Linked DNA regions of Caenorhabditis elegans. The protein of the gene in region 3 interacts with the protein of the main gene of each other region in a pairwise test. Each region holds a gene or a part of one and is shown on either strand. Other genes may lie near its edges. The genes, in order: hum-2, cnt-1, rab-10 and eat-17.

The links.
Region 1: the proteins of rab-10 (region 3) and hum-2 interact in a two-hybrid assay, tested with the Caenorhabditis elegans proteins (one study listed by BioGRID).
Region 2: the proteins of rab-10 (region 3) and cnt-1 interact in a two-hybrid assay, tested with the Caenorhabditis elegans proteins (one study listed by BioGRID).
Region 4: the proteins of rab-10 (region 3) and eat-17 interact in a two-hybrid assay, tested with the Caenorhabditis elegans proteins (one study listed by BioGRID).

What each region holds. Positions count from the first base shown.
Region 1 is NC_003283.11:9,382,697-9,390,545, forward strand, and holds the start of hum-2 (Myosin motor domain-containing protein), read left to right. Parts: upstream 1-3,478; 5' UTR 3,479-3,533; coding exon 3,534-3,590; intron 3,591-3,687; coding exon 3,688-3,801; intron 3,802-3,850; coding exon 3,851-4,368; intron 4,369-4,416; exon of another isoform or gene 4,417-4,418; coding exon 4,419-6,345; intron 6,346-6,394; coding exon 6,395-6,544; intron 6,545-6,591; coding exon 6,592-6,681; intron 6,682-7,849.
Region 2 is NC_003280.10:12,083,996-12,091,677, reverse strand, and holds the start of cnt-1 (Truncated cnt-1), read left to right. Parts: upstream 1-2,809; 5' UTR 2,810-2,816; coding exon 2,817-2,888; intron 2,889-2,933; coding exon 2,934-3,067; intron 3,068-3,205; coding exon 3,206-3,382; intron 3,383-4,036; coding exon 4,037-4,175; intron 4,176-5,057; coding exon 5,058-5,147; intron 5,148-7,338; coding exon 7,339-7,509; intron 7,510-7,682. UniProt on the Caenorhabditis elegans protein: GTPase-activating protein for the ADP ribosylation factor family. Regulates endosome recycling downstream of rab-10 and upstream of arf-6.
Region 3 is NC_003279.8:6,455,268-6,461,893, reverse strand, and holds rab-10 (Ras-related protein Rab-10), read left to right. Parts: upstream 1-3,414; 5' UTR 3,415-3,421; coding exon 3,422-3,548; intron 3,549-3,603; coding exon 3,604-3,916; intron 3,917-3,993; coding exon 3,994-4,072; intron 4,073-4,442; coding exon 4,443-4,529; 3' UTR 4,530-4,612; downstream 4,613-6,626. Other genes in the region: knl-2 (Kinetochore null protein 2), read right to left, coding at 1-30, 75-638, 685-771, 820-903; mam-8 (MAM domain-containing protein), read left to right, coding at 4,968-5,175, 5,939-6,075, 6,129-6,411, 6,541-6,626. UniProt on the Caenorhabditis elegans protein: The small GTPases Rab are key regulators of intracellular membrane trafficking, from the formation of transport vesicles to their fusion with membranes.
Region 4 is NC_003284.9:16,411,875-16,419,837, forward strand, and holds the start of eat-17 (Rab GTPase-activating protein eat-17), read right to left. Parts: upstream 4,967-7,963; coding exon 4,854-4,966; intron 1,433-4,853; coding exon 1,326-1,432; intron 1-1,325. UniProt on the Caenorhabditis elegans protein: Rab GTPase activating protein for the small GTPase rab-6.2. Required for grinder formation, which is the feeding organ that breaks down food.

The DNA.
Region 1 (7,849 bases), on a different chromosome or scaffold from region 3:
TAAACAAGTTTCGCGCAAGCGAAATAAGTTGGCGCGTTTTTTTGCTGGCGCATTTCGCGACGTGGCGCGAAATATTTCGAAATCAAATTTGTCACTATTTTTAGGTCAATTTCGCCATTCTTCGGTTTTTTTTCAAGGTGGCACGTGAGCGTTGACTGAAACCTAATATTGATTTGTTTTTGGGCCTTGTTGGCTGTTTTATTGATTTATTTTTCCTTGTTTTGGTAGTTTTCTGGCGTTTTACCGTTATTTTTTAAAGTTTCCAGAGTGTCATTTTCTTTTAAAGTTTTGCTCTTTACATTTTCTGAATTTTCCATGACCTTGTGCATTCACCCAAGCAATTTCTGCACATTTTCTCCTTTACTATCCACTTAGTCACGTTCGTTTAGGGTCTGTCAATAGTCTCTGAGAAGCACACGCAAAAATGATGATTCATCATTCTTGATAACAGCAGTTCGAATAGGTAAATAAACGGAAAATTTTTGAAGATACGACTGCTTTACGTGGTTTTTACGTTTTTTGTTGCTATACTTTTCGAAACCGTTCTTTTTGTTAGTGAATAGTATTTTTGGGGGATGAGTGCAACTCTCCTACACCGTCAAATTTTTTACGGATTTTTTTACGAATTTCTTCCCCAAAAAAAAGGGAAAGAAAAAAATCACTTTCAATTTTTCTGAAATAATATTCCTTACAATCAGCGAATACTAGTTGTCTGTCTCTCGTGGAAGAATTCGGTCACGGACGTTAAACTTGTGCGAAAGTTTTCACTTTTTGTAACAACTGCGAGAAAACAAGTCACATTTCTGGTCACTTTTCGATTCCCACCAATGTGTACTGTGAGACCGGCTCTTACCATCTTCTACAGCTCTTTATTGTGTTCCCAAACTGCACAGTTTCCTAGCAAACGAGGAGAGAGAGAGAGTATCAAAGTCATAGACACGCAGACACATTGTCATTCATTCATATTCTTCAGAGAGCGCGCATACAAACCAGCGAGAATACCGGCTCGCGGCAAACACCGGTGCCTTCTCCAACCCTTTCTGAGCGTTTTCCTTATTCGGTACACAAACATAAGCTCATCCCTCTCCGTTCACTCCGAACGCATCTCAGTCTCTTCAGATTTTGAACTATTTCCAGAGAGGCTCTGCTGAATTTTTTGTGTTCGCAATTGACTCCACGAGGCGCATTCTTTTTTGATCTTCCACCCGCCGCCTCCGGTTTTAGTTTTCTGGCCGACCTCGTCGTTTTTCTATTTTAAAACCGTTTTGCGCTCTTCCTATAATTCTATTTTCGCTTCGATAGTTTTTTGCGATCGAAAACTTTTAATATTGTCCAATGCTTAACTTTGTCCATCAATAAAATCACAATTAGCCCCGAATTCTTTTTTATAGGCGCAAGTGAATATATCAACGCATGTAACCTCGATTTAGAACTTTTATCGCTTCTTATTTTCTTTGTTTCTTCTATCAAAAACTGTTCGTTCTGGAAAATGCGCCAACATCACTTATTCGGATAAAAACACTAGTGCGCTTGTCATCCGTGTTTATTTTGCCATTGACTGTGCGTCCGCACTGTGATGAAAGTGATTGATCATCATTTCTGGTCAGTTTCTGATCACTTGATCGTTTTTCCAGAACTGATTTGTCTTTAATAGCTTGCCAATCTTCTTTTTTTAATGCCCATATGAAAATTGATATCACAAATATAAATATTTTTATTTGTGTTATTTTTATTAATTCATTTTGGCACTTTTTAAGCCACAATAGAAAAATAAAACATTGTTCACTGATAAATTCTAGGCCGACATAGATTTTTTACAGTAAATTGTTCATCGCTTCGAGACCCGCGCGCGCGAAAAGCTCGATGTCCCTTTAATTTTCGAAATAACTTCTAGAAAGTGACTTTTTAAAAAACTCATTTGGAATTAGTTTTTGTTCAAATTTTTGGAATTCGATTTTGTAAAATACCCGTTTTTTTCTTTTGAGAATTATTCGAAGTAGCTTCATTTTTCGTGTTATCTCCTGTTTTCAAAACTAATCACTTCCTCTGCTTTGCGCTCTTACTATATGTGGAAACAACTGTTTCCTCACATTCTTTTACTTCTTCAGGCAGATTTTTTTCATTTTCGGCGCAATTTTATGATGGCCGTCAACAGCTCGTCATCACTTGTCGGAAGCACTGAAAGTGGAGAGACTCTGTAGCGATTAGGCAAATGTTCGTTTTAATCTACCTCCATCAGCAGCGTTTTTAGTAGTAGACCGTCCCAATTTTCGCTTTTGAATTGAAATCGCTTCTTTCCTCGTTTCGCTTTCTACTTTTCGGATTTTGTCGGCTTGTACCCAGAATTGAAAACTAATGTTGTCGTTCTTTTTTCCCACATCACGATTTTGGTTTCTATCCATGTCTTCCTGTTTCCGAATAAGAAAGTGTGGAATTTAGCTTATTTTCTCCTTTTTCTCTATTATTTTATTATCGAAACAAGTGGTAAATACAGGATTATTAGCAGCTACTTATTGCCGATAAGAATTTCTTCGTATTTTAATCACTTTCTCTATTTCTCCGCTCTTCCTTTTCTCTGTTGACACCTTCACACCTTCGCAACGTATGCAGATTTGCTCTGGCGATAAAATTGCCGCAAGGCGCTGGTTTGAAATTTGAAATGGCAGCCGGCTGTCTTTTGTCACCGAAGCAACGCTTCTTTCGTTACTCCCGATTTACATACATTTTCTCCTAAAAATAGTGAACACGAAATTAATTTTTCATTACAACCCATAACGATTATACATTTTTTGATTATCAGCAAGTTCATAGGAGAGAGTAAATTATTATTTTGTTGTCATAAACAAAAAGTAGCTATAAAAAAAACAACGTCGAAACCAGTATTATTCCCTATTTCATTGTGACACAAAAAAGTAGTCCCAAAATGTGATAAATCACAAGTTTCCAAATGAGACTGCCCTTGATGAATAGTAACGAATTGAATAGAACAAGCTTCTTCTCAGTCTCTTAGCGGAGAGGAACACCGGCCGATAAGTGTCCTTGGCAAGTTGCACATGCTTGCAAGAGGCGCCAATTCAAATCTATCTTTTCTTTCCACTTAATCCTACACCTCCTCACTTTGTTTTTCATAAATGTTGAGTGGCGCGAGAGATGGATATTGAGGAATGTATATTTCGGCACCACCGGGGATAATAAATTTTTATGAGGCACCATGCAAAACCGTAGATCTTCGCTGTCTTCACGTCCAGTACGGGAAAAAGTGTTTCATTGCCGAAATGTTTATTTTTGCGTTTCCGAACCTGATAACCGGACAATATCGTAGAATGGGAGAAGGAAGGGCAAATACACAGTGATATGTTCATGTAAATATTTCACGTTTTTTCCTGTCTCAACTCAACATTTCACCAACCTATCGTTTCTCTTCGTTCTCTTCTTAACTTTCTTTAACTCGTGACTTATGTTCAATTATTCCAAAATATTTCAGATTCACCGAGCCTGTTCACCGAATCGAAAAAAGATTGGGAGCATCCAATATGGACGGAGGCGCCACTCTTGGCAGGGGCCAGTTGTTCCCGCTGCAAAACTTCAAGGTGAGAATTATTTAAATCCTACTATTAGATGCCATTTCAGTTTTAATAGTTTTTTGTTGCTCAACTTTGTTATTCAAATAATTTTGGAAATTTTCAGAAGGGAGTTCGTATTTGGCACCGCCACCCAACCCTTGTATGGATTGGAGCTACTTTGGAAGAGGACATCACATTCCAAACACGGAATGTTCGGATAAGGCTCGAAGATGATACGGTGAGAGAGTTTATCGCATTAATCGTTTTCAAAAACTTATTCGTTTCAGGAAGTCGAGTACGCCATCAAGTCATTGGACCAGTTGCCATTCCTCAGGAATCCTGCATTTCTTGTTGGCAAGGATGATCTCACACTTCTTTCCTATCTTCACGAGCCGGCAGTTCTTCACAATCTACAAGTTCGATTTGTGAAAGGATCATCGATCTACACATATTGTGGAATTGTGCTTGTAGCAATCAACCCTTACGCCGATTGCTCGCACATTTATGGAGAAGAAATTATCCAAGTGTATCGAGGAGCTGGAAAATCAGCTCGTGAGATGGATCCTCACATTTTCGCTGTAGCAGAAGAGGCCCACTTCGACATGGGAGCTTTCGGAAAATCACAATCTATTATTGTGAGTGGCGAGTCTGGAGCTGGAAAAACCGTATCTGCGAAATTTGTCATGCGCTATTTGGCATCTGTTGCAGCCAGCAAGACCAGAAATGGCGGGACCACCAGCATTGAAGCACGTGTGTTGGCGAGCAATCCGATTATGGAGTCGATTGGAAATGCCAAAACGATTAGGTTGGTTTATTTGAAATTAATCTTAATTTGTCAACTGTTTTTATTTTCAGAAACGATAATTCGTCTCGATTTGGGAAGTTCATACAGATTAACTTCTGTGAACGAGGACGAAGGATTGTCGGAGCCGAAATGAAGACATATCTGCTCGAGAAAAGTCGTCTAGTATTCCAAGCACCTGGAGAGCGCAATTATCACATCTTCTATCAGTTATGTGCCGCTCGGAATCATCAAGTTCTCAAAGATCTTCACTTGGGACCTTGCGAATCGTATTCGTATCTCACTCAAGGAGGAGACAGTCGTATTCCCGGAGTTGATGATAAAGCTGATTTCGAGGCTTTGCTGAAAGCGCTTCAGTTGCTTGGATTCGACGAAAAGCAGATGTCCGATGTATTCCGCCTTCTCGCTGGATTATTGCTTCTCGGAAACGTGCATTTCGAAAACGGCGAGGGCTCGTCCGCTGTATCTGCTAGCAGTTGTCAGGAGATTTCACGACTTTGCCGGGAGTTTTGGAAAATCAGTGAATCCGATCTGAGAATTTGGCTGACAAGGCGAGAGATTCGAGCTGTGAATGAGATCGTGACGAAGCCGTTGACCAAAAATGAAGCTGTTCGTTCGAGAGATGCTCTCACGAAAATGCTGTATTCCCATTTATTCGGATGGCTCGTCGACAAAATCAATGAAGCTTTGAACGAGAAGGATAAGCTGGACGGAACAAATCAAAAGAAGCGGCCAGATCGTTTCATTGGCGTCCTTGATATCTATGGATTCGAGACATTCGATGTGAACTCCTTCGAGCAATTCTCCATCAATTATGCAAACGAAAAACTACAACAACAATTTAATCAGCATGTCTTCAAGTTGGAGCAAGAAGAATATATTCGTGAGGAAATTGAATGGGTTCGTGTTGATTTCCATGACAATCAGCCCGCTATTGATCTTATCGAAGGTCCTGTCGGAATGATCAATCTTCTCGACGAGCAATGCAAACGTCTGAATGGATCTGATGCTGACTGGTTGAGTCAATTGCAGAATAGCACGGAGCTGAAGAGAAATCCACAGCTCGCATTTCCAAAAGTTCGGAGCAACGATTTTATTGTTCGTCATTTCGCTGCTGACGTCACATACAGTACGGATGGATTTGTGGAGAAGAACAGGGATGCGATTGGAGAGCAACTTCTTGATGTTGTCGTTGCCAGTAAATTTCCATTCATTCGCACAGTCATCGGATCAACTGCACCAACCTCCGTCTCTTCATCATCATCTTCATCGACACCCGGAAAACGTACGATAAAGAAGACTGTGGCCAGCCAATTTCGTGATTCACTCAAAGAGCTCATGTCTGTACTTTGTTCGACGCGTCCACATTACGTCCGATGCATCAAGCCAAATGACAGCAAAATCAGTTTCGATTTCGAGCCAAAACGTGCGATACAACAACTTCGTGCGTGTGGAGTTCTTGAGACTGTTCGAATTTCTGCTGCTGGTTTCCCATCTCGTTATCCGTATGAGGAGTTTGCTCGTCGATACCGTGTAATTTACACGAAGGAAGCTGCCCTGTGGAGAGACAAACCTAAACAGTTTGCGGAATTAGCATGCCAACAATGCTTGGAAGAAGGCAAATATGCAGTTGGAAAAACGAAAATCTTCTTACGTACTGGACAAGTTGCCGTTCTGGAAAGAGTTCGGCTCGATACGCTTGCAGCTGCTGCAACTGTGATTCAGAAGATGTGGAAAGGATTTTTGGCCAGGAGAAAATACGAAACGATGAGAAGATCTTTGCTCATCGTCCAGGCATCGTTGAAAGCATTCCTCGCATTCCGAAGAATCAAGTATCTCCAAATGCATCGTGCTGTGATAGTCATGCAATCTGCTGTTCGTGGATATTTGGAGCGACGGAAGTATGAACAAATTCGCGATTCAATCATTGGGATCCAGGCAATGTTTAAGGCGAATCGCGTCAGAAGATATGTGGAAAAGGTATGATAATTTGTTGAAAGTTTTTTATTAATTGTTTTTAATATTCCAGCTTCGCTATGAGAAATCTGCAATCACAATTCAAGCAGCTTGGCGTGGATATTTGGCGAGACGTGAGCAAATCGCTAACAGGAAAAAGGTGGTCATGGTTCAGTGCGCTGTCCGTAAATGGCTTGCCAAACGTCGTCTCCGGGAGCTTAAGGTGAGTTTGACTTCTTACTTATTCTAATATTAATTTTTCTGTTTCAGATAGAAGCACGTTCAGTTGGACATCTTCAGAAGTTAAACACTGGTTTGGAGAACAAAATCATCGAGCTGCAAATGCGATTGGATATTGCAGTAAGTTGAAGTTTAAGAGTAGATTATGAGAAAAAGCACTTAGTAATTCATTGTTTGCAATCACAATCAGCTTATGCAAAAATGCGCATTTTTTTTTGTAGTCGGAGACAATGTGCAAACATGAAATTTTTGCTCTTTCATCTCAATCAAAAAGCCTTCGAACGAATGAGAGAATTGTTAAGAAAGTTGTTGTATCTAAAACGGCAACATTGAATGAGCATGAGCTCCCTTCCCCTTTTACGATCTGTTTTATTTGCTCTTCGGAATATTTGATTGAGTTTCGGCAACTTTGTAGGCAGTGTATGTGTAGAAATGAGCTTCCTTGAAAAATCCCTTATTTATTATTAAAATATTCACCTGATCAGGGCTGTTGATAAAAAATTTGTTTCAATTTGGACCGAAAAACAGAAAGTTTTCAATTTTTTCAGCATATCAACTAAAACATAACATTTCTGAAAACAGCCTCTGACCTAATCTATCGAGAATATGATACTGATTGCGTGATTGTGGAAACATTCTGCAACTTTTGAATATTGAATTTGAATCCTAGGTGTCATAGGTTTTAAGCTTTTTTAACACCTAGATATTAGAATCTTCTCCATCTATAGCTTTTCAAATTGTTGTTTTCTGAAAAAAAAAGTCAATTGGTAACTCGAGTATTTTTGTGAATATTTAGTTGTGTGAACTCCCAATGGGCCGCTTTTCTTTTCTTGCATCACCCTCTTCACCCCCTAAATTCATGTAAATATTTCTAACAACATGGTGTCTCTTCCAATGTCAAATGTTCCATGTCAACTTGACCACTTGACACATAGTTTGGGAGCTTATCCCGTTAATCATCAGTTGTTTCTTGTGATCCACTGATTGCCGTCTTATGTTTTGTTTGTCAATATCGCAACTGCCAGTTTATTTTTTCACTGAAGCAGTGTCTTATCTTTGACTTTAAATTTTTTTAAACAAGTTGGAACACAACAAAATAATTCGGGTGCCAAACCTCAGTAGTTCTGCAAATAAAATGTTCTTCCCTTGCTCTCTTAGTGCTCACTTGATGCTTCTTTATGGGTCGAGAGTTGGCTCGTTACTCGCTTTTTTAGATAGAGAAACACGATGATGGCCGTTTTTTGAATATATTTTTGATGATATTATCCGAGTGGCGCGCGAGTTTATT
Region 2 (7,682 bases), on a different chromosome or scaffold from region 3:
GTAGTTGATTTTTTTTTCATTAAAAAATTTGTTGGTTGAGATATGGACAGAAAAAGAAGAAGAAAATACAAGCATGAAGGTGCCAAACTTTACACAACTTTATCTCGACCAACACATTTTTTGATAAAAAACAATCAACTACAAAGTTGTACTTTAGATTAAGATATATAACTTTGTAGTTAATCACTTTGCCATAAATTTTTTTTCCACGGAGATATCAGCATCCGAAGTGAGTGCGTTTTTTGAGCTTAGGGGTTCTACTATACCTCAGGTTTTCGTCTGCAATAGTGTGCAGAACATCCAAACTAGAAAAACGACAAAAATTGCACTTTTCTATAAAATCTGATCAAATTTTGAAAAGTTTTCAAAAAAATAAATTTTGGAAAATTTTATTAGATAGAGGTAGTCAAAGAGCATTTGAAGGTAGTCAATGAGCATTTATACATCAGATTTCATCTCCATTTTTTCCGGAATTTTAAGAAATGAGAAAGTGCACGACCTTCTTAGACATCAAAAAGTAACATGTTATTGAAAATTCTGATTTTTCAGCGAAAAAAACTATAAATTTTGAAAAATTAGATAAAGGTAGTCAATGAGCAACTGAAGGTAGTCAATGATCCGAAAGGTAGTCAATGAGTGTTTGCCCCCCTCTGAACGGATGCCCCCTACGAACAATTGCCACCTTTGACCTAATGCCCCCTTAGAACGCGATGCCCCCTCTCACGATGCCCCCTGGGAACATGGGCCGGCAATTTGTCGATTTGCCCATTTGCCGGAAATTTCAATTCTAGCAATTTGCCAATTTGTTGGAAACTTTCAATTCCGGTAGCTTGTCGATTTGCAGAAAACTGCAATTCCGGCAATTTACCAGTTTGCCGATTTGCCGGAAATTTCAATTCTGGCAATTTGCTGGTTTGCTGAATTGCCTAAAATCTCAATTCCGGCTGTTTGTCATTTTGCCCATTTGCCGAAAACTGCAATTCCGGCAAGTTGCCTGGTTTGCCGATTTGCCGGAAATTTCAATTCCGGCTGTTTGTCATTTTGCCGATTTGCAGGAAGTTTCAATTCTGGCAATTTGCCAATTTGTCGAAAACTTTCAATTCCGACAAGCTTGTCGATTATCCAGAAATTTCAATTCCGGAAATTTGTCGATTATCCAGAAATTTCAATTCCGGCAATTTGCCGATTTGCCGATTCGCCGGAAAATTCAATTCCGGTAATGTGCCGGTTTGCTGATTTGCCGATTAATTTTTGAGCTTTTTTGCAATGTTTCCAAGTCAAATAAAACATATTTTCAGATAAAAAAATTTTTTTATTTTATCACTAAATTTTGATGAAAAAAGTATTTTTTGTTGGATAATCACGTGGTGCCAGGCTGTCCCAACACGGTTTGATCTACAAAATTGCGGGAACTTTTCCCGCAAAAAATGTGACGTCAGCACGCTCTTAACCTTGCGAAGTCAGTTGAGAAGTCTGCGTTTCAACTCCCGCATTTTTTGTAGATCTGCGTAGATCAAACCGAAATAAGACTCTGGTACCACGTGTACATATGTGTAATGTTGTTGCATTGCAAAATTCCAATTTCCCCGTAACTCTTTCTCGTCTGCCTAGAAAAGCAAAGTAAGAGAATATTAAATTAGTTGCGCTCTCGGTGCCTCCCCTTCTCCTCCTCTCACCCAATTTCATTCTCAAGCTCTCTCCACAAAAAAAGAGTATTGAAAATCAAGAGAGTTCCTAGAGAAACAAGCAGTGAATGTTTATATACGACTGTCCTTTTTCTCCAAAAATTTCGTCCTTTTCTTCTTCCCCCCACAAACACAATGACCTCCGTCCGAAAAGTTGTCGCGATGTTCTTCTCCCGCCGTCTAACTGCCTGCGTCTCTTCTCTATTTCTCTCCCTCGTTTTCCTGTTCATCACCATCATCATCAGCGGCAGCCGTAGCGGCAAGAGAGAAGAAGAACCGGCTGTTTTTCTGTTTTTTTTTTCTGTTCTGAGGCTTTTGTTACGTGTCTTGGAATTTTTCTCTTTTTCCTTTATTGTGCGAGTGATATGGACTTTTGGTTTTCTTTAAAGGCGCATACGGAAGTTTAAGTTGTTGAAAAAAACATTTGAAAATGTTTTTTTTTTTAATTTCAAAAGCCACGTGGCATATTTACAGCCACTTATCAAAAAAAAAGTTTTTTTACCCAAAAATTGTTGGTCGTTTTTATAGGATTTTTTTTGCGAAATTTTGGAAATAAAATTAATTTTAAAATTTAAACTTAAAACTTTTATTTTAACATTGGGAAAATTTTGTTATTTTCCATAAGTTTCGATAATTTTTGTACAGAAAAATGGTGATAAAATTAGTTTTTCTTCTAAAAATCGGACTTTTCAGACTTTTTTGAATTTTTTTCAAGTGAAAAATTTAAGCAATTTTTTTAAAATCAAGACTGTTTTCAGTTTATTTTTCTATTTTTAGCTATTAAAAATGAAAATTTTCAAGAGAAAAATGTTTTTTTACCATTTTTTCGACATTTTTTCTATTAAAATTGCGTTTTTAAAAACCAAATTAATTAATTGATAAACATGTGCTGTCAATTTCAATGCCAAGTACGCAAACACCACAGCTGCACAGTACCAGATCTACCGTACTCTTCAATTAATTAATTGAAGAGTACGGTAGATCTTGTTCTGTGCACCTGTGGTGTTTGCATACTTGGCATTGAAATTGACGACGCAATATTATCAATTAATTATTTTTGATTATTTTTTCTCAATTTTCAGCCGAAAAAACTCAATTTCTTCGTATAAAATCGATAAATTTCCAGATTTTATGACAGTATCAAACAATGGAATGGCGATGCCGTCTGTTCCGCCAAAAATCGACTGCTCCGAGGCAATTCAGGTAGAAATTCCCTCAAAATACACCAAAAACCTAAAATTTTTGCAGGATTCTCCAAAATTCCGCGCAACAGTCGCTCAACATGCAATGTATTTTAATCGATTAGAGAATCGGCTCAACGAAATGCTCCGACACATCACTGCAATGATTGATTTCAGCAAAAATTATACGAACACGTTTTAGTACGTGAAAAAAATTCATTTTTGGGGTCTCGAAACGATTAAGCTTTCAGATTACTGTATTTTAAAGGCACATAGCGAAAAATAATCGTTTCAAAACCAAAAATTCAAATTTTCTCAAAAAATCCCCGTTTTTTCCAGCAAATTAACGGTTTCGGTGAATCAATTATGCGATGAAAGCTTCTCCGGCAATCCATTGGCGTCTACAACATTCCAAGGATTATCAGAAGCCTATGCACACACTGTTAACCTATTTCGCACGTATTTCGACCATTCAAATGTGGTCACTTTCACGAAACTGTCGAATTTCATTAAAATGTGAGATTTCCGGAGTTTTTTTTGGCGAAAAATCATAAAAATCGATAAATTCTGAGTTAAAAAGGCCGAAAATTACAAAATAACGAGTTTAAGCGAATTTAAATCAAAATTTCGTTTTACTTTAAATTTAGAGGTGAAAAATTCAAATTTCCCGCTGATTTACTAGATTATTCATTCTAGAGGTACAGAAAATTGACAAATTTGAACAATCGAAAATTTTAATTTTTTTTGAACTAAAGGTATTTGGATTGAGCTAAAAATTTTAAAAAAATTTTTGAGCCAGAAAACTTCAAAAAAATTTCTATATTGGAAAAAATTAATTAATTAATTAATTAAATAAATTAAAATTCCTGTAAAAAAATTTGCAAAAAAATAGGCAAAACTCGATTTTTTCTCGGGTTTTTTGGTAATTTTTCAAAAAAAAAATCTTTTTTGAAAAGTTGAATTTCCCGCCAAATTAAAAAAAAAATCAATTTTACGTATAAAACAATATAAGGCAATTTTTTTCGAAAAATAATAAATTTCCAGCCAAAATTCAAGTGTTTTTAACCAAAAATCGCATAATTCACAACAGAAAATTGAAAATTCAATTAAAAATTAGATTTTTCGAAATAAAAAAAATTCAAAAATGTTTCCTCTAAAATCTAATTTAAGTGAGCTCACAAAAGTGGCAGAATCCCGTGCACATTTTGAGAATATGTCCCAATCAATGGATGATGCATTAGTCAAAAATGCGAGTATTTCAAGGCAAAAGCCTGCAGATGCGACAGAAGGGCGAAATGCACTTACTGCGGTGAGTTTTTTGAATTTTCAACGAAAAATATTCGAAATTCTCGATAAAAAACCAAAAAAAAATTCATCCAAATTTTTGAAAAAAATTTCTTTCTAAAAATAGGTATTGTACTGAAATTTTTTTTTACAAATTAAAAAACAGATATCTTTTTTTCGCCAAAAAAATTACTTAGTGATTTTTTTTTGTAAATTTTTAAAATTTTTTCTTCGAGAAATATAAAAATCGTAAATTAATTTTTGCAACAAAAATTATTGATTCATCAAAAAAATGTTAACTTTACTGAAATTTTTTTTTTAAATTTAATTTTTCGAAAAACTAAAAAAAACAGAGAAAAAAACCTAATTCAAAATCGACTTTCTTGAAAAATGCCCATTTTTACTGAAAAGAAATTTAAAAACATTTCTTTTGTAATTTTTTAAAGATTTATATTTTTCGAGAAATATAAAAATCGTTAAAGCGAACAATCAATTTTTTGAAAAAAGAAATATTGATTTATCAAAAAAAGCCGATTTTACAGTAAAAAAAATTCCAAATATATTATCTTCTTTTTTATTTTTTTCAAGATTATTTTATTTTTCGAGAAATTGTTAAAATAAATAATTGATTAATTTTTGGATAAAAATTTAATAATGTTACTGAAAAAAAAAGAATTTTCTGAAAAAAAAAGTCTATTTTTTAAACAATAAATCGAAAAATTTAAAAATGTTCTTAACAAAATCAAAATTTCTGGTTATATAAAACATTCAATTTTGTCGTTTTTTTTTTTGCTTCACCTTAAATAGTTTCTCACAAAGCGTCTCAATTGCAAGAAAAACCACTCAAAAACCCTTAAACAAATAAAAACATTTTTTTTTTCAAACCAAGAAACCCGCTCTTTTCCAGGTCGGCACTTGCTTCGCACACACCACACTCGACTACGTGGCAAATATTAATATTGCACATGCACACAAGGACCATATGATTCTCGATGCGGTTCGTTTTGAATTTTGAAAATTGTTGGTTAAAAAAATTAGAAATTCCCTCGGCTAATGTGAGAGTTATCACATAAAATAACGGAAACTTTTTTTTTCCAAAAATTTGAAAAAAATTCAAAATATTTTATTTTTAGCTGTAAGAGTTTTAGAAAGATCAATTTCTTGATTTTTTGCTCAAAAATTTAAGAATTTATAAATTTTTTTGTAGCCGTTTAACATTTTACTTTTGCCAAAAAAAAACATTAAAATAAAATTTTTAAAAAAATTTTAACTAAAAATTCAAAATATTTTATTTTAAACTGTAATGCATTAGAACTTTGTTAAAAAATTTGTTTTTGAATTTTTAAACTCAAAAACTTGAGAGTTTTGAAATTTTAAATTTTGCGAAAAAGCCCGAAATAAATTTTTTTAAAAGTTTTTTGACTCAAAAATTACAAAATTTCTCAATTTTTAGCAGTTTCGCATTATAATTTTTCACTAAAAATTTCAAAAAAACTTTTTTCCACTGTAGTTATAGTTTTGGTAAAAAAAAATCAAAAATAATTTTTTTCCCGTTTTTTACTCAAAAATTAAAAAAAAACATCTCAATATTAGCCATTTTCCTTTGAATTTTTCTTATTAAAATATTCAAAAACTTCCAACTTTTAGCCGTTTAGCATTCTAAATTTGGTAAAAAACATTAAAAAAAAATTTTTTTTTGTTTTTCGGTCGAATTTTTGATGCCAGTCCTGGTCGTAAAAAATAACTTTTTTTGTTGAAAAAAAAATTAAAAATTCCGGAAAAAACCAAAATTTCACTTTCTTCGAAGTTTCCAAAAAAAAAGTGACAAAGAATAGAGAAAAAATGAATAAATATTTCGAAACTACCCCTCCACTCGACTGCATTTTTCTTTATTTACCTAGCCATTTTTGATGACGCGCGTCCCGTCTTTTTCTCCTCGAAATGCTCTTTCCATCTTCTTGTGCAGCACCTTTTTTTGGGAACACAAAATATCAAATTTCCACCAAAAAAAAATTCTGGAAAATTTTACTGAAAGTCTGAATATTTATAGGTTACTATTTTCGGTTTTAAAAATTTTTTTAAAAATTTTTTCTAGGCCATTAACTTATTTTTCTAGGCCATCTTTGTTATTATCTAGAGCATAATTAATTTTTCTAGGCCATTAATTCATTTTTCTAGGCCATCAATATTTTTTCTGGACCAGCGATTTTTCTAGGCCAGCTGTAATTTTTCTAGGCCATCTATATATTTTTCTAGGCCATCAATATTATTTTCTAGGCCATCTTTGAATATTTTCTAGGCCATCTTTGTAATTATCTAGAGCATAAATAATTTTTCTAGGCCATTAATTTATTTTTCTAAGCCATCAATTTTTTTTTCTAGACCAGTGATTTTCTAGGCCAGTTATAATTTTTCTAAGCCATCTATATATTTTTCTAGGCCGTCTTTGTAGTTATCTAGAACAGAAATAATTTTTCTAGGCCATCAATAATTCTCCTAGGACATAAATTTAAATTCTAGAATCTTTGTTTTTTTCTAGGCCACATATATATTTTTCTAGGCCATCTTTGTAATTTTTCTAGGCCATCTATATATTTTTCTAGGCCATCTATATATTTTTCTAGGCCATCTTTGTAGTTATCTAGAACAGAAATAATTTTTCTAGGCCATCAATAATTCTCCTAGGACATAAATTTAAATTCTAGAATCTTTGTTTTTTTCTAGGTCACATATATATTTTTCTAGGCCATCTTTGTAATTTTTCTAGGCCATCTATATATTTTTCTAGGCCACATATATATTTTTCTAGGCCATCAGTAACTTTTCTAAGCCGCTTTTGTTTTTATAGACCATCAATGTTTTTCTAGGCCATTAATGTTTTTTCTAGGCCATTAATGTTTTTTCAAGGTCACCAATATGTTCTAGGCCATCAATATATTTCCTAGGCCACCAATGTTATATTTATTTTATTTTAAAAAAATCAGTCTTCTCGAAAAAAAGAAAATATGTCTTTAAAAATTTTCCTGAAAAACGTTTTCAAATTTTTAACTTAAAATGAAAAATCTAAATACCTATGCATATTCCTGTCTCACAAATATTTTTTAAACGAAAAAAAACCCAATTAAATTACTAAAAAACCACCAAAACCACGTTTTTTTTATTTTCATATTATTTTCTAAAATTTGCAGTTGTGGACACTGGTTCGCGAATCGTCGGCGTTCTTCTCAAAAGGGCACGCCACGTTCGACGAGTGGACAGCTGCCGACAACGGAGCAATCGCCGACACAATTCAGACATTTGCTGCTAAATCGAAGCTCATCGAACGTAAGATGCAGGATGTACATTCGCTTGTTCCAAAGGTTAGTTGTTTTTTGAAGTTAAAAGTGGGATATCTAGAGGATTACGCAAAAAGTGTAAAATATCTGTCTTCTATATTAAAATAGCTTCAAGTTCGTAAAATATTGAAACACAATAAAACATATATTGAAAAATGGTACATGTGATATAATACTGATGAAATGATAATACAATA
Region 3 (6,626 bases):
CGTTGAAGAAGCAATAGGACCTTGTTTTCTCTGAAGATGACAAAATATTGTTTCCAACATAAATTTTTACTTACCACTGGAGTTTGCTCGAAGATGAATACTTTTTTCGCGCCACCATTGTCGTGTCCCCGTGTGAATCTTATCGGAGTGATTGGCTCGCCGTTCTGAGATTTCGGAGCACGAAGGGTGTAATTAGCTTCTTCCAGCTCTTCCTCTTCTTTTCGCCTTCTTTCAGCCTCAGCTTCAGCATCTCGTCGTTGTTTTTCTTCTTCTAATCTTCTCTCACGTTCCTTTGTTTGCTGTTCTTCACGCTCACGTCTGTTCCTTTCTTTCTCGTTTTCGGAATTTTTCTGGCATCCTCCAGTTAGCTCGGTTTCATCTGCCAACGTAACAATTGGTTCTGTTCTAGTTCTAATTGGTTCTTTTGGAGCCTGTTGGATAGGGCGAAGTGCGCTTCTTTGGTTGGCTGACATGCAGGAATAGATAAGGTCGGCCCAATTTTCAGGAATTCCATTTGAAAATTCATCAATAATTCTACTAGGCATTCCCATTTTTTGTTGATATTCCCGATCAATCTGTCCGACCAAGTCGAAGAAACGTCCGGAAACATCGAAAAGCAACGTAGAAGTGAAGCGTCTCTGAATATTTAATGAAAATTGTTGACGAATATGTTTCTCGACTTACACAAATAAATTCGGAACAAACTTTCTGCATCATAGTGCCTTCTTCATTTCTCACAAAACCTTCGAGTTTGAAACTGGTCGCGTTAAACTGTAAAAATATTGAAATCATGAAAACTTAAAAAAACTAGACAGTTACCTTCATGGACCACAAGTTGAGACGAATGATTTCGCTATCAAGTACATTTTGTACTCGAAGAGGAACAATTTCCGTATCACCCATTAGGCATAAAATACCGTTTATTGGAAGAAAAACAGAAATCGGAATGAGATGTCTCTCTGATTTGAATGCAACGCCTTGGCGGCAAGTGCAACGGAGCGTGTTTGCCTGGAGTCGTTGCAAAATAAAAACTGGGGAATACTTTAATTGCTCAAGAATTAGTTAGAAAAAAAATGGTAATAGCTTGAATATTTGGCTTTGAGTAGTATAAACGGTTTATTTATAGTTTTATAAAATAATTGTTCCAAAAAATCTCTAATTACACTGCTTGAGATAATGAGATATCAGTGAATCTGTGTTCCATGATTTTTACATTAATTTTATCCGCAAGGTGTCACCATTGAACATATTTGAAACAATATTCTTCGAAGCCATTCTCAATATTTAATTTGTTTTTAAAGAGCTTTATAATGAAAATAAATGAAAAATATCGACAATTCATGCTTTTATTAATTTTTCCAAGTCTACTCACTTAAATCACATTTTTCTCCATGATCATCGATCGATATGATTGTTTTCTCCGTATTACAATTGTTTGTTCCTACGATTTTGCCCTAGATTCTGCAAAAGCATTAGTCATTCACAATTCTCTATGTCCGCTCACCGCCCGTCCATTCTAAAGTGGGCGATGATGATTTCGCAATACTCTTTCTCTTCCTATGAACAAACATTCTTTCTTCAATATATTCTTACTGCCATTCTTACAATCCTAAGTGTTGATCGGTCGATAGCCATTCCGATTCCTACTCAAGCTAAAGTCAAGTTGTTCTCACAATCATTCAATAATTCTACATATATGTACATAGCTTCGGGAATTATTTATTCCATACTTTTCCAGCTAAATTGAAGGTTAAAAAGTATACCATAAAAACATATCGATTCCAGGATCAAATTATTCCATGCAGCATGGAATGTGAAAAAACTTCAGATGATTCTGAAAAGTCATAATTTTCGATTCGTTAATTAATTTCGTTAATATGAAGTTAATTCTAAATAGGTGGGAAAAAACTATTATTCAAATTTTCATGAACAGATTAGCTTGAAGTTTTGTGAAAAGGTTTTAATATTAATTTTCGCAATAATTTTGTTTTAAACTCAGAATGATTCATGCCGCTTGAACTTTTTCTTTTCATTTTTTGTTGAACCTTCTCCCACCGGAAACATAAAAACACATGATCCAACTACCACCACTAAGCTGTCAACACTTTGCCCTTTGCTTTCGCCAAGCTCTTGTGAAGCAGCTCATGTCTTTTTTCTTTTTCATCCTTCCAACAACGCGCGCTCTCTCTCTCTTTCTCCGTCTCTATTCCTTTTCTCGTTGTCTCGGTTCCATCGATCTCCCATTCAACATACGGCCGAGGCGCCCTCTCTTGTCTGTATCTCTGGTCTCTCTATCATCTAGAGAATGAGTCCTTTTCTTTCTCCACCATCTCATCAAATTAAACGTCTATTTCGGGGGTTTTGTCTATCTAGTAGAGGTCCAACCACACTAGCCTTCAAAAATTTCACCACGCCCAATGCCCTCCACCACTGAGAATTGACCCTTGTCAACAACCTTGTCTTCTGAATTTTTGATGACAGAGGCAACGGCTTCTTTTGATTTTTGAAGTTTTGAGATTGCGACTTCCTTTTCATCATTGACTCATTTTTTTCGATAATCAAAAATTATACACTACGAGGGAGCGATGTTCTCTTTAATTTTTTTTTGCTGTAGCTTCTTTTAATTTTCAAAACAATTTATCAAAACATAGCTTTCTGAAATCACCCTGAAATTTCAGCTGAAACTTATTATTTGAAAAAATATTAGAAATGTATTTTTTAACTTCAAAAAATCTAGCACATTTTGATATTCACCTATCATAATTATGAGTTAGTGTTCCTATTGTTTTTATATCAATTAATATGTTCATTTCTGTTCCTAAAATATTTCATCACAAATTATTGAAAAATCACAGTTTCTTGAACATGTCGTTCACATTTTATTCCTTATCACTTCACACATCTCATGCCATCTGATAACGTACTTTGCATTACAAAATTGCAAAGTTCACCATTCAATTTCAAATAAAAAGCACTTTCGATCAATAAACGTCCACCTGTACCCGTTTTAGATTCGCTTCCTTTCCAAATAACAATTATAATGATCTCTTTGTGTTTTCGTGACCCGCAGAGGAAGCCAGCAGCTGCTGTTCACCTTTTCCCGAGAATTTCCCAGAAACAGCTAATCGATGTGATTTGCGCATGCACGCGTTAATAGCTCCGTTCAAATTTTTTTTTGTTATAATGGAAACAACAATTAACTATTTTGTCCTGTTTTTTCTTTGACAACATTTTATGACAAAAACCTAATTTTGGAAAACTAGAAAAAAATTAGAAAGTTCTTCCAAATATCTTCCAATTGTCAACTCTTGATAACTTCTTCGAAATCTCAAAGTGTTCGTTCTATTTGCCATGACTCAAGTGCTTTTCTCTTACTTTTGTGCAACTTTAGTTCTCAACTTTTTCTCATTTCAGAAGAAAAATGGCTCGCCGACCGTATGACATGCTCTTCAAATTGCTGCTAATAGGCGACTCAGGAGTTGGAAAAACTTGCATTCTGTACAGATTTTCGGATGATGCCTTTAACACCACATTCATCTCAACTATTGGTTAGTTTTTATTCAGAATCTAGTGATTTCAAAATAATTTTCTTTTTTCATTCAGGAATCGACTTCAAAATTAAAACTATCGAATTAAAAGGAAAAAAGATTAAATTACAAATCTGGGACACAGCTGGACAAGAACGATTCCACACAATCACAACATCATATTACCGCGGAGCAATGGGAATTATGCTGGTTTACGATATCACAAATGCGAAAAGTTTTGACAATATTGCAAAGTGGTTGCGCAATATTGACGAACATGCATCGGAAGATGTTGTTAAAATGATATTGGGAAATAAATGTGATATGAGTGATAGACGAGTTGTGAGCAGAGAACGAGGAGAGAAGATCGCACAAGATCATGGTATTAGGTACGTTTTGGGAGATTAAAAAGGATTAAAAAATAAAAAAATATATATATATAATCTCAAACAATTTTTATTTTCAGCTTCCACGAGACTTCAGCTAAATTGAATGTTCACGTCGATACAGCGTTTTACGATTTAGCAGAAGCAATTCTGGCTAAGGTAAAGTTTTAAAATGTTTTTAAAAATTAAAATTAAGGATGTGAAAATTCGAAATATATTAGTACATTCTTTGCACGGGCGAATATATGTTCTGATAGTATTGAAATCGACGAAAATGTGATAATTAGATTGCTAAATGCATTAGAATCTGATTTTTTCTTGTGAAATTGTTCGTAATTAGTTGAAAAATCTAAGAGCCTTTTTATTTTTGTCCTCATTACTCTTCTAGTACAAAATATGAAGAGCGAAACTTCTTCGTTTTTAATCATGCAAAAAATTTTAATCGCTTCGTCAAAAATTGCACCAGAATAATCTAAATTAGTTTCATTAATACGATTGTTTTTTTTTCATAATTTGTTTTTATTTTCAGATGCCTGATTCCACTGACGAGCAATCCCGCGATACGGTGAATCCAGTGCAACCACAGAGGCAGAGTAGCAGTGGAGGATGCTGCTAGATTCATGTTTTTCCCTCTTACTTCTCTATTCTCCAATTTGGTTTTGTAAATGTTTCATCCGGGTATTCATGAATTTGAATGTCAATACATCTTTTTTGCTTCTTCTTCTTTCCCCCTCATTTTTTTTCGAATTTTTGCCTCACATTCTTCCCTTCTAGGAAACATTTTCTCCATTTCCACTTACCTGTTCTAACTAATGATCGTTTAAATATGTTCTCCATTTCTTTCAATTTCCCTCCCCCTTTTACTTTTCTTACAAATCTTCTCGTGCGCAGAGACTTAATAAAATAAATTGCTCTTCTTCCACATGCTAACTAGCCATCTTTACCTTCATTGCTTACTCTTGTATAATTGACATGTCCTCCCCCTCCCCCCGAAAACCGGTCACTTGTTGAATATCCAACGAGGTCACTCTAACCAACTTCAGGATTATGACAGATGACACCGTTCAACGCAATGCTTTTCAAAATTATCTACCTAGTAGTACTACCTATTTCTTACTGTACGGAGTTATGTACATTCAACGAAGGAACCTGTGAATGGGATATCAGACCTCCGTGGAATGTTGTCTCGTTGGCAATTCTTCCACGTCATCAGCATCCTGGACTACTAAATATTTCAAAGACACCCGATGTTATCACTTCTGGTGAGAAATTAAATGTATTTTCTAATGTCTTCTAGACTACATCTCGTGTATAGCATGTTCACTATTAAATCGAAATGACTAAATACATTGGCCGATCGGAGAACCTGAAATTTAGCTTCAATGGTTAATTTATTATTTGCACAAAGATTCACAACAATCATCTACTATCTCAAAACAGGTTTTATACGGTAGATCGCAATGTGCTCATCACCACGATTTCTTGCCGCGATTTTACTATAGTCACATAGATTCAAGCAGTCTAGTAGACCCTCACGGATGATGTCACATGTTAAAAAAGTTACCGACATTTTTAAAGATCATGTTCTACGGAATGTACCACGTCGGCCGTTTTTCTCATTGAGACTACGGTAGAATCGCGATTTATTCGAATCGTGGCGAGATATCAGTTACAGTTATCTGTACTTTTACAATTTTCTTTTCAGTTTTAGTTATAGTTTTTCTAAACATGTACTCGAATTGGGGCAAAAGTACTAAATATATATATTTGAAAATCTACAATTTTGTACAATCATCAATGTTTTAGGTCAATCTTTTGGCAAAATGCCGAAATTTGGAATCTTAAATATCCGCTTCTGTACTCGTAATTTTCGTGTAGTAACAATGAAAACATTGAGAAAGTAATTTAGTATACTGAAACCATTTACTTCAAGTTTTGAAAAATCTAGGAAGGTCACCAAGTGTGTCCTTTGAAACTTGCGCACTCTAACATAAATGGGGAATTTTAAAGTCGCTCGTTTTTCAGAAGGACCATTCCTACTTGCACAAGGAAAGTTCGCATCAGTGCCCTCGTCAAGAGTTACTTCTCAGAAAATCTCAAAATCAGATCATATGAGAATACTTGCATATCGGTATCAACGTCGTGGAATGGCGACTTTGAGGGTATTTTCCCATTTTAGTTTGAAATTTATGAAAACTCTTACTTATAATTTCAGATTCTTTTAAAAAACCAAACAGACGAGATCTTACTTGATACCATATCCTCAAATGAGATAGAAAGAATCAAATGGCATCGTCGAAGTGTCATTTTTCCTCCAATTCCAGATTATAATCAAACAAGTGTTATATTTGAATGTGATAATATTCAAACTGCTGAAGATATCATTGCTGTCGATGAAATTGACGTGGCAACACCTGCAAATGTTATGTGGGCGGGACAAGATTCCAAGTTTTTTGATGAAGAAGATATACGAAGAAGAGAAATTCGGAGAAGTTCAAGTAAGTTGATATTGTAGACAATATTCGGATCCCTAAAACGTTTTTTTCGTTCTTTCCTTGTTTTTTACTAATGCGAATAATATTCTACAAAAATCCCAAGGACCATCTCTATAACTTTTAAAAATTCAGAATTATCAAATGTATGTACTCCAATCTCTTGTCATTTTCGTTCTTCAATTTGTTCCTGGCAATCAACGAATATTCAACTTCTTCCA
Region 4 (7,963 bases), on a different chromosome or scaffold from region 3:
TGTCGTGGTGATTTCTGCACTAGAATATCAAATACCAAATTTAGCCATCTATAATTAAAAAGTCGGAATTGTCAAAATTCAAAAAGTTAATTTCTCTAGATGTTTTCTTATAAAGAAAATTTTTTTTTCCATAAAATTTTTGAAAATCCATAGACAGGATATCAGCGCATAAGGAACATTACTGCAGTTTCGCCAAAAAGTAGAACTCGAAAAAAAAACACTTAAAATAAATACACCGCAGGTATGAGTAACCTATGCAGTGAAAAAGACTAATTTCGCAACTATTTGGTCTCACGTCCTGCTCAGGTAGGACAGTCAAAAATCAATAAGTGTCAACAAGCAGCGGCGAGAAAAGAAGACAAACTGTGATTCGATGTATACATACTTTTTCCCAACGTTTACCGCTCTGCGTCTTCAGTATTTTGTCAAAATTTTAAAGATACCTGACTTGGGAAAAAAAGGCGACCTACAATTTCTAATAAAAGTAAAAAGCCGCCCACCTCGTCGGTCGAGGCCCAATTAAAGATTTCGGTGACCCAGTAGCTATGTGTCCAACTACAAGAGAAGCTCTTCTCCTTCCGCCGCCCCTCCCTTTACAATGCATACATAAACGAGCAGCTGAGCACTACTGGCTCACAGTAAACTAGTACTACTACTACTACTACTACTACTACTACAACATCTACAACTAAGAATACTTCCCCACTCCCTAGTTTTGCCCCATTTTTTTTAGTTGTTAAACTATATTTAAATTTACAGGTGTGTGAATGTGTGTGTGGTGGTGGTGGTCGTCCGTATTATAACAATGCAAATCGTCGCGGCACTGTTGTGCTTTGCGTGTTTGCATTCAATTTTCTATCATGAATAGTAATGGAAAGGGAAATTGGGGGGAAAACTAGTACTAGAAAACAACTGCGAATTGGGTCTCGCCACGACAATATTGTTTACATTTTTCAGGGTGCGGCACATTTTTTCCTATAGTTTCGTTTGTAGAAATTATTTTTTGAAAACATTCAAATATTTCTCGTAAATACAGAATTTTGAATTTAAAAAATAATTCTGGTAGAAAATCGTGAATTGGTAGGCCTGAGTATAAATTAGGCTTAGAAAGTCTTCAGGCTTAGACACGTAGGCTTAAACTATTAGAACTCTGTTTTTAAGTATAGTCCTTATTAGTTTTAGATAAAATTAGAGGGGCCAATTTGAACGAAAACTAAAAAGAAAGTTCAAAAAAAGTTATTTCTATTAACGTAAGTGTCTCTGTTTTTAGAACTGCATATCAAAATTCAAAAGTCTATAAAACTTTTTTGAAAAACCGTTCTTACCGTAATCCGAACTCCGACGTAGCGCTGCAGTGGCTGCCATCGGCGGTGACAATTGGGACGGCGAGTTGCGTGGCGACGACGTTGAATTCGAGTTTGAACGCGAATGCCTGAAAAAAAAACATATTTCAATGATCGAACATATAGAAATTGGAAAACGCGAATGGAAAGAGTCATCAGCGTCATGAAAATGCCATTTTTTATTGTACAAAGTAATGCTGGCCAAGGAGAGCACTGATGAGTAAAAATGTCAATAGTCAAACCGGAAGTCTATCCAATCACTTTTTGGGTAGCACAGAAGAGAGAAAAGTCTTAAACTGAAAAAAAAAAACGCAAAGAAAAAAGCTACGGGGAGAAATCAAGTAGCCGCTGACACCACGCAAGGCGTCATCTTTAATTTTAATTAACAAAACCTCCTTCCACCCCATCATTGTCAACATTGCAATGGTCGAAAAACACAATACAAAATGAAATAAAAATGCAAAGAGCTGTTCCTATAAAGTTCCACGAAGAACGGAATACTAACGGAATATTTCAAATTTCAAAAGGTGGGCGAGCCATCTCTTGTTGTGTCATTCTTCCAGCTTTGAATGCTTTCCTTATCAGTTTTAATACTAGCCACCGCCTCTGCATAGTGCGAGATAACAAAACAGTTCTCTTGTAAGGGACACGTGGATGGGGAATACTTTTAATATTAATTGAGATTTGAGAAAAAACATAAAGTTTGACTGAAAATGATGCACTGAAAATTATTCAGAATACACTCAAAACTTTCTACATTGTTTAAAACAAAAATAATCATAACTGTCGGAAAAAATGATAATTGTTATTTTTTCAGAAAAAAAACTGTTCTAGTTTATAATTTTGAATTCAACATTGTAGATCTACACAAATTTCTAAATTTCATATTCAGTTCAATTTTAAATCAACCAAAATTGAAAAATACAAAAAAAAACATTTATGTGAATTTTTTGGAGACTACACCTACTGTGCTAAAATGGCCAAATATCACAGTAAAACTTTTTTAATGTTTTTTTTTTCAAATTTTTAGTCAAAAAGTTACGATTACTCAGTCACTCATAATTTAAGCCGTCAAAAAAAACAAATGTTTTTTTTCTACAAATTGTATGTATAAAATTTCGTTAATTTGATGTTGCCAAAACTTCAAGTGAAAAAATTTTTTTTTTTTTAAATTTTGTAACTAAACTTAAAAACTTTCAGCTAAACTTCCTATTTAAAATCATTTCTCAATTACCTAAAAACTCCAAACTAAAGAAAGGCTTTCGTAACCAAATCCAATTGTAATATTAAAAAAGTCGTCAGTAGTCATCGAGACGTGTAATTGACAGGAACGGATGGCGGCGGTCAGTTTTGAGGTGAGATCAAGCGATCTGAGGACAAAAAGGGCGAAGAAAAAAGGTCGGGGTCAGATATTGCCAAACACGCACGCAATCAATAAAAAGGATATAAATAAGGAAGAAGAGGATAGGTGTGGTGTGTGTGGACCTTCCTGTGCACTGTTGCGTAGTGGTGGCGGTGTTCCCTCCTCTATCTCTCTCTCTCCCTGTGTTCTTCTGTAGTATATCCCACACGTAGAAGACGTCGCGTGGAAATGGTGAGAGAGTGGAGGGTGGCAGAGAAAACGAGATGTATACAGGTTACCCGACCGCTTTAATACAAAACATGTTTTCCTGTGTGTTGCATGCCAATGCTGATACAATTGATGATGCGAGTTAGCAGTCGCAATTGTGATGAATACCGTCCTATTGATGGTAAAATTTAAGCTATCATAGTTTGGAACGATGATGTTTTTGGAGTGGGTCTTGCCGCGATTTCTACATCTATCTGAGTACAAAATGAAAATTTATGAAGTTTTACCTTCTGAAGCGCACAGAGAAAAGGGTTTGTACAAAGTTTCACGAGTTCCTGAGGACACGATAGTATATGGTAGCTCAAAGAAAACAGGATAAAATCTAAACCTAGAGGAATTTCTTTTGAAAATGTGGCAAATTTTACAACTTGTTAACACTATTCCGATTTCCAAAAAATCAAAACTCCGGAAAATGAAAAGTTCAGGTCTCAGTGAAACTTGTCTTATTATTCTACAAAGCCAATGTGCAAAAACTATTACTTTGCCAGTTTGTACCTTATTTCCAGTATAGAAAAACGAAATAGTAAAAGCAGCCGACATTGATCAAAGTTTGCGATGTCTTATGCTGTTAGCGTTTTTCAAATTAGCCAGAGGGGCAGGATAGTTCCTTCGGTACGCAAGCAATCTGGAGGCCACGAGTTCAAGTCCGGCCTCACCCCTAGGTACATCCAGCCACTATTGGAGTAATCCACAACTGGATTATCGGCCACAGTCCCCGGCTAGGACGTGGCTTAAATTATAGCCCAGCGGGAGCACCACCGGGCAGTCCCAGATCCGCAGTGCATAGCGCATGAAGAACGGATCGACCTTTTCTTTCAATTTATAATACATAGCAATATTGCTTACACCTTCCCCTGCATCTCAACTCGAACCAACTGTACACGACTCATCAAACTGTTATCAAACCCCACCACCACGTTTCGAGGATTTACACAAAGCCTTGACCTATTTATCGCTGACTGACCCCTCGGTCCCGTATATTTGCTCGTGTTGTCACGTTCGGAGCAGCTAGCCCCTGCAGTAAACTGCAAGGGAAAAAAACCAACCACGGTGAGTTCAACACGAGCAAACAGAACGTTGTCGTCCCTAACTTTGTGCGCGCGCTCGAAGATCAGTTCCTTGTTCCATTCTCAATCTCGGGAAAACTCGTTGCCAACATGCCAATCACACAATTTCCTGGTTTGGTCAAGGTTTCGGACACACGGCCAACGGAATGCCATCATGCTTGTGTACCTAGTGTTCCAAAATTAGATTCGTCCCCCCCCCCACTCCTCCTGTATGCATACAGGAAAACGCCGGTTTTCCGTGGCGCCGCGCCAGGATATTTTTGGAAACTGTCGATGACCAATCGGAGGAGAAGAACAAAAATGGCGCCGCGCACGGACCGAAACGGGTGAAGAGCTTTGTCTAGAGGAAAAAAAGAATGAAGAGAAGAGTTGGAACAATGATTTTTGATTAAAAGCCAGTCAAAAATTAATTGGCAAGAGAAAAGGCTAATCTATTGATGGATAGTAGGCCAAGTTCAGTTGATCAAATTAAAACTGGTAAATAAACATCAAACTCAAATCAAACATTGATGGAAAGCACCCTATAGATTACTTGAATCAAAGTCTTTGCACAGAAATAGGAAAAATGTATTAAATTTGACGTAGAGGATTAAAACGACCAATAATACAAAGTTTCTAAAGCACAAGAGGAGGTACAGTTCGATCAGTTAAAGTTGGAAGGCTATTAGAAAGATAGTTGAGTACTAGTAGATTAAGCACAATTGGGAACTTGAAAAAAATGAGTCTCAAATTTTGAATTGAGAAATGTTCTGACCATTTCAAAAATATAATTTCTAAAACCTCCAATTTTAAAAATGATCCCAAAATTCTTACCATAATCGCTCCCAGTCTAGATTGAAGAAGCTAGCAGTTTCTTGAAAAAACGACGTAGACTGATGATGTGGAAACACTGATGGCGTTCCGACAAGAGCCGGCGAGGGCACCATCGTGAATATGTAGAGTTACGGAATAAAGTGAAATATTTTGATGTTGGTAGCTGTTTTTTTTCTATTGTTGTTGTTGTTGGTCGTATGGGTGTTGATCGAGAGATAATCAGTCGAAAAGTGGCGAACAATCCCGAGTTGAGCTCAGCGGGGGAGGGGGAAAAATTTTGAGCCGAGAGCCGTGTTTTGCGCGTCCGTCGCCACTATTGAGTCTATATGGTCGTAGCGAGGAGGACGCGAAACAGCATACAGTCGAAAAGAGAACGATAGGCGAAGGGAGCGACGCGAGGCAAGAGACCGGGCGGCGATCGGGCCGTGCGCACAGTCCGAAGTAGGCGTGACACAACCAAACCGCGAGTCTCTGAATCCATCGCTTCTTCTTCCCACAGAAATGGAGCAAATATGGTCATGTGCTTTAGCTTCTTCAAGACATACTATTAGTTTTTCAACACGTCTTGGTTTCCGCGCTGGGTTTTGCTCTCCGGAGGGAAACACAAGGCGCGCGGGAGTGAGGGGAGGGACGAGATTTACGGATTGGAGCAGCGTCCACACTGATGTCATTATTTATTTATACGGTTATATAATACTATTTGTGAAAGCCAAAACAGAGGTGCAACGTGTGGCTAGTGGACTTTAATTCTATCTACTTTCAGAACGAGATTACATCAAATATCAAAACTTTGCTGGACTTCTTACTGTATAAGCTGGAAAAAAGTTATCCAATAGCTCGGTCCTATACGGTCCTAATTTTGTTGAAAATCATTTTCACAGACCTTCATCAGAAAACGTAGTTTTTCTACCGTACTATACCGTAATCCATTTTATTTATAGAAAAATTCCAATTTTTTCATATCTCGAGATCTTTTACTACGATTTTACCCATGACGAATCAATTTTCCACAACCCGACAAAAAAAATTATCGAAACCCAATCTTCTCTAATTTTAGAAAATTTCACATTTCCGCCGACGGACACTAACTGACTGAGAACCCGAGTAATTCGAGGCCCTGCATCTTATCGGTTTTGTTTTTATTTGTATACCAAATGACTAACTGAAAAGTGGCACAACGAGCTGGCCTGTTTGATGAGGAGATTTTGATATTAGTAGGTCGCAGAGGCGAACAAAAAAAAAGCAAAAACTTTCGCCTGCAAATATTTGTGGTGGTGGTGTTGATACCCTGACACCGAAATATGAATCAGAATCGAATGGGACGGAAGAATAGAGAAGAGTGGAATGGCGAACAAAATAGCAGAATGAATAGTTACTGGAGGTATGATATTACTGTACGTTCAACTAGATAAATCATATATATATATATAATGATAAAATTTCAGAATGTTTCAGAGTAAAATGTGCGACTTAAATGTAAAAATTTTCAGTAGTTTTTAAATTTTCCGGAAGAATCAAAAGTATCGGAGTAAGCTCGAAAATTTAAGGGGTTTCAAGGATAAAATATGAAAATATGGTTTTCTCCAAATTTTGTATCCACTACTGATAAAACACTACCGTACCAACTACCGTAACCTAAAAAAGAACCGCACAGTCAATTCATAAATAATATGTCAAAAGTTTGTCGGAAAACAGAAAACAGAAAATAAAAACAAAACCTTTAAAAAGTAAAAATTGAAATGAAAACAAACAGAGAGAGTGACTAATGAGGGAAACGGAATCAAAAAATGGTGGTCCGTTGCGACGAGAGAGTGAGAGACGGAAAAGAAGAGAGGGGAGAGAACGCGCGGGGGGCGCCTCCAACACAAGATCAAAAGAGGGGGGAGGTGTGCAATCGAACAGTATGCAAGTCTAGAATTGGTAAATGTGAGAGTAAAAAAGAGACTTTGAAATATAAGTAAGTGTATCAAGTATTTATTTTTGTAGAATAATATGAAAATTGAAATTTAACAATTGAAATTGAAATGAAGTCCGCGGAGATTTTCGTTATGATTTATTAGCCATCAAAACATGAAAAGAGGAATAACATGGAAAGTTCACATTTCAAAAAGGATCTATATTTTTTGCGGGTTTTGGGGGAAAAATTCCAGAATTTCTAAACATATTAAATCTCAAAAAAATAATTTTTTAAAAAATGTTAAAAGAAACTTAATTTATATGTGGGTCTTTTTGAGGTGTTTATCATTTTTCTTAGTACTAATATAATATAAAAATGAAACAGCAAGGAAATATCCATGAAAATGTTACATCTAGCGTTTAAAAACTTTTTAAAAAAGAAAATTTTGTGGTCTTCTTCAAGCCTAAAACTGGCCTATTTCTGTTTTGAAGCATAAAACAAACTATTGATAAAAAAAAAACAACAAATCAAGTGTGTTGTCAAAAATATCTTGATTAGTTGTTTTTTTTTGAAATCAAAAGATCAACGAAATTGTTTTGAAATTTAAGAAACAAAAATTTTTTATACAAATTTTATTACGGTTAATGGAAATTTAAGATTTAATATTTTTTTAAATAAAGTTAAAAACCTCAAAGTCTGTTCTTCAAAAGTTCCTGAACGACGAAAAAATTATTTTTCTTGATGTATAGCGAATCTCCGATAGCGTGGAATTGTTAATTACGAATTTTCTTTGCGCTTGTGATTTTTGATTTCAGATTTTAGAATTCAATGATATATAAAAATTCTGCCCAACTTTAATAATATTATTTAAAAAAAAGCAAAACATTATGAAGGTTTTGTCAAATGCGGACATTTTCAATTCAACAACTTCTACTTCTACATACTTTCCAATATAATACACTATTGAAAAAAAGAGCTTTCCAATAAAAAGCTACAGACACTGATCAAAATTCGGTCTCATGCTGAAGAGTGTTATAAAATTCTGTGTCTGTGAGGAGCATCTGCTCAGACTTTTGTTGAACGTTCGCTGGATGTTCGAATTGGGAAAAGGTCAACTAGAATAATGGTCAGAGCAGCTGTGATAGAGAAAATATTTTTAAACTTTTTTACAAAAATGGTACGATGTAATAAATGTTTTGAAATTAATCAAAAC